Linked DNA regions of Coturnix japonica. The protein of the gene in region 1 binds, or shares a complex with, the protein of each later gene. Links are inferred from orthologs where the notes say so. Each region holds a gene or a part of one and is shown in the gene's direction. Other genes may lie near its edges.

Region 1 (3,677 bases):
ACACGAACGTGCGCAGGCTTGTGGAATGAAAGGGAAGGGATAACTGAGGTTATGAAAGAGTGTCGCATTTCAGATGCAATCCCCATCCTTCATTAAAATCTCCGTTAAGAGATACCTTTTACAGAAAGATGTTTTGTAACAAATGAGAGGATTTCCTCTCCATTAAATATCACACTACAGACAGCTCCATTTGCTCCAAATTAGGTAAGCTCTGAATAAATATTTTAATTAATCCATGATAAATAAGCCAGGCTTTTTCCCAGAACAGAGTCACTGCTTTCCTCCTTGGCAGCAGCGGTCTGTTCTCTCTGTGCTGTATGTATGCACGTACATGCCTGGGTTTTTTGTGAGGGCTTTTTTTTTCCCCCCTTCTCTCTCCCTTTTCTAAACCTGTCTCTCAAATGATCGGTTATAGCACATGTCCTTATCTGTGGATTTCCTTGCGTTTGTGTGCTCTTATTTCAGGGGGGAGGAGAAGGGGAATAATCAGATTAACACACTCAGACCCGTGGCAGGATGCTCTGAAACATAAAAAGAGGGAGAGAAGGAAGAATTCACACATAAAAATAGAAGCCCACGTAGATTGGCCATATATGGAGTACCGGGGACTTCAGAGGGATACCCTCTTCGGACCACCCCTTTGGCGGAGGCATGTTGCTGCAGGAGGCCCCTTCCCCCCTCCCCGGGCGGTTCAGCCCCCGGCCCCCAGGCTCGGAGGAGGCCCGGCGGGGCCGTTTGTCGGCGGGGCGAGGAGATCGGAGCGGGAGGCGGCGGCGGCGGTGATGACTCAAGCCCGCCCGCCCGGCCCGCTCTGCCCCCCGCCCGCTCCCGCCTCCCCCATTCCCCCCCCCCCTCCGGGGAGGGCTATTAAAAGCTGCTGACGTAGGAGCGGACGGCCATCTTTGATGAGGGCACGGCTCTCGGTCCATTGAAGAAGGAGACCCGAGGAGGTCAGCAGCGGCTGTCCTTGCCTCCCAGCTGCGGCACCGAGACACCAACCCCGCCGAGGCGGCCCGGCGGAGCGCTGCACAAGCCGAGGTAAGGGCGGGAGACCACCGGGCCACCGACTGAGCAAGGGGAGGGGGCTGTATGAACGAAAATGAAGCGAAAAAAGGATTTGTTTAAAGGGGGACGCGCTCGGCGTTTTGTCTCCTGTCTCTGGGCTGCTACAGGGATGGAGGAAGTCGAGGAGAGGGGGGGTAATGCCGCCGCCAGCCTTATCGCCGGCTGGAACCATGGGAGGGAACCGAGCTCTGTGTTTCCGCTGTATCGGGCACGATCGAAGGCGGCAGGGAGCCCGAGGAGAAGGGCAAGCAGCGCATTTCTAACCTGTACTGGGAGCAGGGTGCTGCGGGGCTCTCTGCTCTGCTGGGTCGCGCAGGGCTGCAGCCGCCCAGGGCACTGCAGCGCCCTTCCCGCACCGCACCGCACCGCGCAGGGCTGCGGCGGCGCTTCGGCACCGCGGACGGAGGCCGGGGGGGAGGTCAGCAGGGAGTACTGCGGCTCTGCGGGAACGGGAGGCGGTTCAGCACCGCGGACAGCGTCCGTCAGCACAGCGGACAGCGTCCGTCTTCAGCACCGCGGACAGCGCCACGGCGCCCCGGGCTTGGAGCCGCGCTGCAGGCGGAGGCGGGTTCGCTGCAGCGCCCTGCGGCTCCGCACCCCCCCCGGGCAGCCAGCCCCGGGCAGCCTCTGCCCTGCCGCAAGGGAAGCGAGCCCATAGCTGAGCTGCTAGCTCCTTCCGGGACGGGACCTCAGGCTGAAACAGCTGGGGCTTTGCGGGGTTTCTCGGCAAGTCGAAGCGCAAAGTGGGAGAAATAATAATAATAATAATAATAAACAATAATAATTACAAGCTTCGGTTCTTGAAATTAAGCGGCTCTTCAGCCTGTCTCCCACCCGGCCGGTTGGTGGAAGGGCATTGGTGCAAGGGAAACGGGAGTTATGTAACACCTGGTCCGCGGGGTCTCTCCGGACCAGCGGCAGCCCCTAGGGCATCCCCGCAACCACAGAGGGTCGGCCCCGGGCATTCTGCAGCCTTGAGTCGGGGCAGCTCAGCTCCTCATGCAATGCAGGCAAACCCACCTCGCACTCCTGACCCTGGCATCCCTGTCCCTGGCGTTCCTCTTCCCCTGTCCTTCCTGCTCCCTGGCACCCCGCTTTCCTTCTCCACTTGGTACAGCTCACTGCTGGCAAAGTTGGTAACTTTGCTGTTTTCTGCAGGGCAAATAAACAAGAGGGGATGAGGGAAGTGGGTTGGGCGTCCAGACATTGCACTGCGTAGCTGCGTCAAATGAGGGCCATGGGATCTGCCAGATTTACGTGCTTGGCTTGAGTAATTGCTGCTGGTTTCATTCCCAGCTGAAAAGGGGGTGGGGGGGAGGAGGTGGGGATGGAGAGGCTGGTCTGTGGTGAAGCCTGGGGATGGCAGATCAACCCACCAAGCCATACGTGGTTACTGTCAGCCCCAGCTGCCGCATCCACAAGGACATGCCTGTCCCTCTCCTCCCTGCTCCATCCTAGCTCTGATCTCCATAGACCATGACAAGACAAGGCTGGTCTGGAGGCAGACACCTCTATGGGCTGCAGGGGAGGAAATGGGGCCATCTGGGTGATGAGAGCTCCAGGGGATACAGATGAAGAATCCTCCTCCCATATCCCTGCATGTCACTGAATCATGGTCAAAGATACCAGTCTAGGAAAAAGTGGCAGTGGTTTTCCATTGCTTCTGCATAGTGCATAAGGGGATGGCAAGGAGGTCACTTTGATTCCTAGGATGAGTGCCAAAGAGACAGCAGAAGTGACCAAAGCAAAGGTACAAGCAGGCCTGATTTGCAAAAGTGAGAGCTTGAGGCTCCCACTGAAGTCAGGAGGACTGGAAATAACCGAGCATGTTACGAAACAAAATGCAGCTAAACAGCAACCCCAAGTAAATGCAGTTTAACTATATTTATACAGCTAGCTAGGAAATGATAGTGAGATATCGGATTCTATGTCCACTGAACTCATGAGGGCAGAAAAATAAAGAACCCTTAAAGTACATCTAATGAAACACAGCTCCAGTTTGCAGATTTACTGCATTGGGGGTGGAAGCTGTATTTCAGGTCATCAGAAAGCTTTTCATTCATCTCTGTACAGGTTAGGCATGGCAACAGACAGTGAGATTAAACTGCTAAGGCAAATAAAGTGTAGTCTATATCTAATTCCTGCTCTGCTATAACCGAGCAAGGTAACTAATCAACATGCTTTCCTGTCTTATTATTAACTTAAGCAATTTTTAGGCTTTTGTGTCACAAGCCTATGTTGCAACAATTTGAGGTAAAATGGCAAGCATACAGCAGAACGGAGAACTCAGTCTCTTAATTCCTTCTCTCAGGAATGTAAAAAACCCTAGGAAGAAAGGAACTTGGTTTACCTTGGCTTGTTACACTACCATACTTGTTCATTTCATTTAATTTTTTCCTGATTTTTTTCCTCAATTTTTCATAACTAGAGTATAATCACAGCACTTTCATTATTAAAACACATGCACATTTATTTCAGACTTCTAGGGCTTAAGTCACTTAAAACTACAACAAATGTAAACTCACTTTATGGCCTTCACTGAAGTGAGTATGTTTTTCTTTATCTGAAGTTTCCTCTACTGCTAGAAATGCAGTCACCTTTGGGCTGGGTGA
Region 2 (3,717 bases), on another chromosome or scaffold:
CTCCCTGTATTCAGAAAAACAGTTCAGTAACATACAGAGCTATTTCACATTACTCTTCCAGATCCATGGGCCTGGTGGTGTATCTACTAACCCAGATCCTGCTTCAGCAAAACGTTTAAGCGTGGGCTTGGTGTTCGACACGCCAGCAGTTCTGTGTGCTCAGAGCTGCTCGCCTGCTTGAAGCCAAGCGCAGCTTCCAAGTGCTTTGTTGTGTCGGGTCACAACCCTTCAGTGCATCGCGGGGGGTCACAGACTCCCGCTGAAGTGAAGTGATCCGCTCACCCTTCTCTCCATTGTGGGACTTGTGTTTTCACAGCAGACAAACTAAGTGCAGCTTCCCAGGAAAGTTCAGGTTCCCAAGTGCCAGGAGCCAAAACCTCCTGAACCCTCCTGTCTGGTCACGGAATCGCTCCTTTGTGAATCGCGTCTGACAGCAGAAATACTGTGTGATCGAAATGCAGAATATAACATGAACCCCCTCTCTGGTTGCACGCTTATGGCAGTTCCACACAATAGCTGGTGCCCAATGGGGGGTCCCCAAGACTTGCATGTCAAACTAGTATAGATGTCTTCTCTTTTGTAAGTTTTATTTTTGTAACCGTGCATGTAAAGCATCACTGAATCAATGGATCTGTTGAAGAACTCAGCTGCTGGAACCATGCAAAATGTTTTGAATTGCCCTTAAAATATGGAAAATGTTTTCTGAATGCTTTATATTCTTTCTGCTGTAAATTAAAAACAAAGAAAATTTCCCCATACGAAGCGTCTGACTGTTTTTACACGGGACATAAGGGACGTAGCGCCGCCATGGGCCCATCCCGCGGCCTGCTCCTCCCACAGCCCCGCCCTCCCTTCGTCACATCCGGGCTCCGCGGGGCAGCTGCCGCTTCCTGTCGGTCCTTCCGAGCGCTCCGGGTGCGCAGCGGCTCCGTGTCGGCGGCGCGATGTGAGTACGGAGCTGCGGGCGGGGAGCGGCCCCGATGGGCGGCGGGGCGGCCCGGCCGCGGCCGGACGAGCGGAGCAGGAGCAGCGGGCGGCTCGTTACGGCTCGTTACGGCTCGGGCCGCTGATGTCGGCCGGGAACCGCCCGTGGGTGGAGGCTCCCGGGGCGGCCGCGCTTCCAGCCGGGAGAGGCCGAGCGGGCTCCGCTTGGGCCGCGCACCCCGAGCTGGAGGCGGCCACGGCCCTTGGCTGCCGCTGGAGGCGGCGGGGGGGCGTTATCCTGCCCGGCTCCCCGGGACAATGTCGGCGGCCTCGGCAACTTCACTGAAGGCTTTTCTGGAAGCGCTGCCGACGTGGGCAAAGGAACGAGGGGCGGCTTTGGAGGCCAATTTCTTGTGTGCGTTCTGTGTGGAGCCTCAGAAAGCGCTTCCTAAATATTGGCAGCAGTAAAACAGCACAGAGGTGTGAGCACAGGAGTGGTTATTACATCAAATCTGAACTACTACTATTGAGCCCTGTCTTGTTATCACGGGGCACTGGGTGTGGGTCGCTGTGTGCGTCTACTTCCTTAAAATGTAGGTTTGAATTTAGTGCCCAAATCTCGTGCTACAATAAACAATGCTCAGGTTGAACCCTCTGGGTGTCAGGTTGCACTGAACAGCACGAACTTCTGCTGCAGAAAAGAGGAAAATACGGAAAAGCTGCTGGAGTTGTGGAGCTGTACAACAGAAAGTCACTAAAGCTGTGGACAGAACATGAGAAATGCGTACAGACTCCTGCACTGATTGCAGTAATGCACAGTGTTGTACTGGGTAACAAGAATGGGACTGCCTGGGGTTAGGAGCTCAGAGCTGACTGCAGGTTAACTGTTCTTTATGCCAAATGCATTTTCCTTGTGCTTTCTCTTGCTCAATATCAACTGTTTCAGACAACTGCTCTGTGCAAGGACACAGAACAACCATGAAAGTTCCTGTACTTTGGTTATTGGCGTAGAGTTTGTTACTGAAAAACTGAACACTACTGAGCTTGTGCCTGAGAACCTGAGCCCCTTCTGAGCACTACAGGAGTTGCCATATGCCTTAATAGAGACTATTGTATTAGCTAATTGTGACTTTCAGTACATCAGTCCATTCACTAGCAAGAGATTGAGGATGCACTTTGACTTAGACCTATAGCCAGCTGCTAAAACATCACTTTCCCAAAAGGAAATTAAACTTCTCTAAGATTATTCCAGGATTCAAAGTTTCCTGCTTCCAGGAAGGTCAGATAAGTTGTGTGTTGTAAGCATGTCAACTTGAAAGCAAAATCTCTAAGAGAAACTAAGAGGATCCCAATGGCTTTCTTTACTGCAGGTCAGCCAACGTCCCCGGAAACACAAATGTGCCTGCTGGTAGCAACCGTCGGCTTCAGCAAACTCAGCATCAAGTAGATGAGGTAAAAATCTGGTTAGATAAGTGTCATTCATTCCCTTAAAAAATCGGGTATCTAGTATAGATATACCAGCTAAAGTCGCTGTTGTTTGATATGAAGGTGAAACCTTTTACAATTCATCTTTCTTTGTTGTATCTATCACCTTAACTCTTGGAAAGGTTCAGAAAAATAATAATCCATTAATTCATTCCAGCTTGCTGCTTTGGGAAGACAACAAGCTTTGCTTTGACACAGAACAAGCTTGCTTCTCTTCATTAGCAAAGAAGTTTTACCTCTAAATAAGACATGTCCTGATTCCTGAGGAGGCCAAGAGCCAGTTTAGCTGCCAACGCTGTTTTTTGACGTATGGTTGACTGTTGTGCTTGAATGCCTCAAGTCATTCTGGTGCCAGTCAGGAGTTACATCCCAGGTTCAGGGGAATATAAGCACAGTGACTGTACTGAGACTGAGAAATAGACACTAGGGCCTTCCAGCTGCAGGTAATGTTCAGGCTTATGTTTGGATACCCTAAAATGCAAGTTCCTGCTCCTTAGATGAGAACATTTGTTCCCTGCAAATGGATTTGATACTGATTAATAAAGCTGATAACTTACCGATGTAGGTTGTTGACATCATGAGGGTGAATGTGGACAAGGTGCTGGAAAGAGATCAGAAGCTGTCGGAGCTGGATGACCGTGCTGATGCGCTGCAAGCAGGAGCTTCCCAGTTTGAGACCAGTGCGGCCAAGCTGAAGAGAAAGTATTGGTGGAAGAACTGTAAGGTAACCGTGGCATATATACACTTAGAGTATTCACTATCACAGTGAACAGTATTACAGTCAGCATCTCAAAAGGCAGCGGGAAAAGGGACTTCAGGCAGCGTTCATTTCTATAGCATCTAGTTTTAAAGCACTGCAGTGGTGAGGTGAAGTAATCAAATAGATGACCAGCAATGCTGCTTGATACAAGGCCTTGTGTGAGCAGCAATGGCCAGAGGGAAATGCTGCAATAATCTGAGGCTTTGGGGTACAAGAGGAATAGGCCAAAAATATATATATTAATGTGTAAGCAAGCGGAATGAGCTCACTGGGTATCCTTGTAGCTGTCAGCAGAGGTTGGAATCCTCATTGGTGAGCAACAAAGACAACAGAAAGGTCTACCACACCGAGTGAAAGTGCTTTGCAAGGGCTGCTGTCCTGCACTCTGACGGCTATTAAACGCTGCTGTTACATTATGTGACGAGTGGCTTTTTCTTCACAGATGTGGGCAATATTGATAGCTGTTGTCGTCATCATCATCATCATCATCATTGGTAAGTTGCAGCAGAATGGGGATTTCTTGGAGTGGATGGGGTTAATTCACCAGC

What was found.
Region 2: the proteins of SNAP25 (region 1) and VAMP3 are in contact, whole or in part, in a crystal structure (PDB 5KJ8), measured with the Rattus norvegicus proteins. The link is inferred for Coturnix japonica from reciprocal best matches to the Homo sapiens genes SNAP25 and VAMP3. Residues at the interface, in NP_112253.1 of Rattus norvegicus: Asp147, Leu150, Glu151, Val153, Ser154, Ile157, Leu160, Arg161, Ala164, Leu165, Met167, Gly168, Ile171, Asp172, Gln174, Asn175, Ile178, Asp179, Ile181, Met182, Ala185, Asp186, Asn188, Lys189, Ile192, Ala195, Asn196, Ala199, Thr200, Met202; in NP_476438.1 of Rattus norvegicus: Ser15, Arg18, Leu19, Gln21, Thr22, Gln25, Val26, Glu28, Val29, Ile32, Met33, Asn36, Lys39, Val40, Glu42, Arg43, Lys46, Leu47, Glu49, Leu50, Arg53, Ala56, Leu57, Gly60, Ala61, Gln63, Phe64, Ser67, Leu71, Lys74.

The regions. Positions count from the first base shown.
Region 1 is NC_029518.1:11,889,344-11,893,020, reverse strand, and holds the start of SNAP25 (synaptosomal-associated protein 25), read left to right. Parts: upstream 1-877; 5' UTR 878-1,038; intron 1,039-3,677.
Region 2 is NC_029536.1:234,618-238,334, reverse strand, and holds the start of VAMP3 (vesicle-associated membrane protein 3), read left to right. Parts: upstream 1-827; 5' UTR 828-944; coding exon 945-946; intron 947-2,294; coding exon 2,295-2,376; intron 2,377-2,974; coding exon 2,975-3,133; intron 3,134-3,611; coding exon 3,612-3,663; intron 3,664-3,717. UniProt on the Homo sapiens protein: SNARE involved in vesicular transport from the late endosomes to the trans-Golgi network.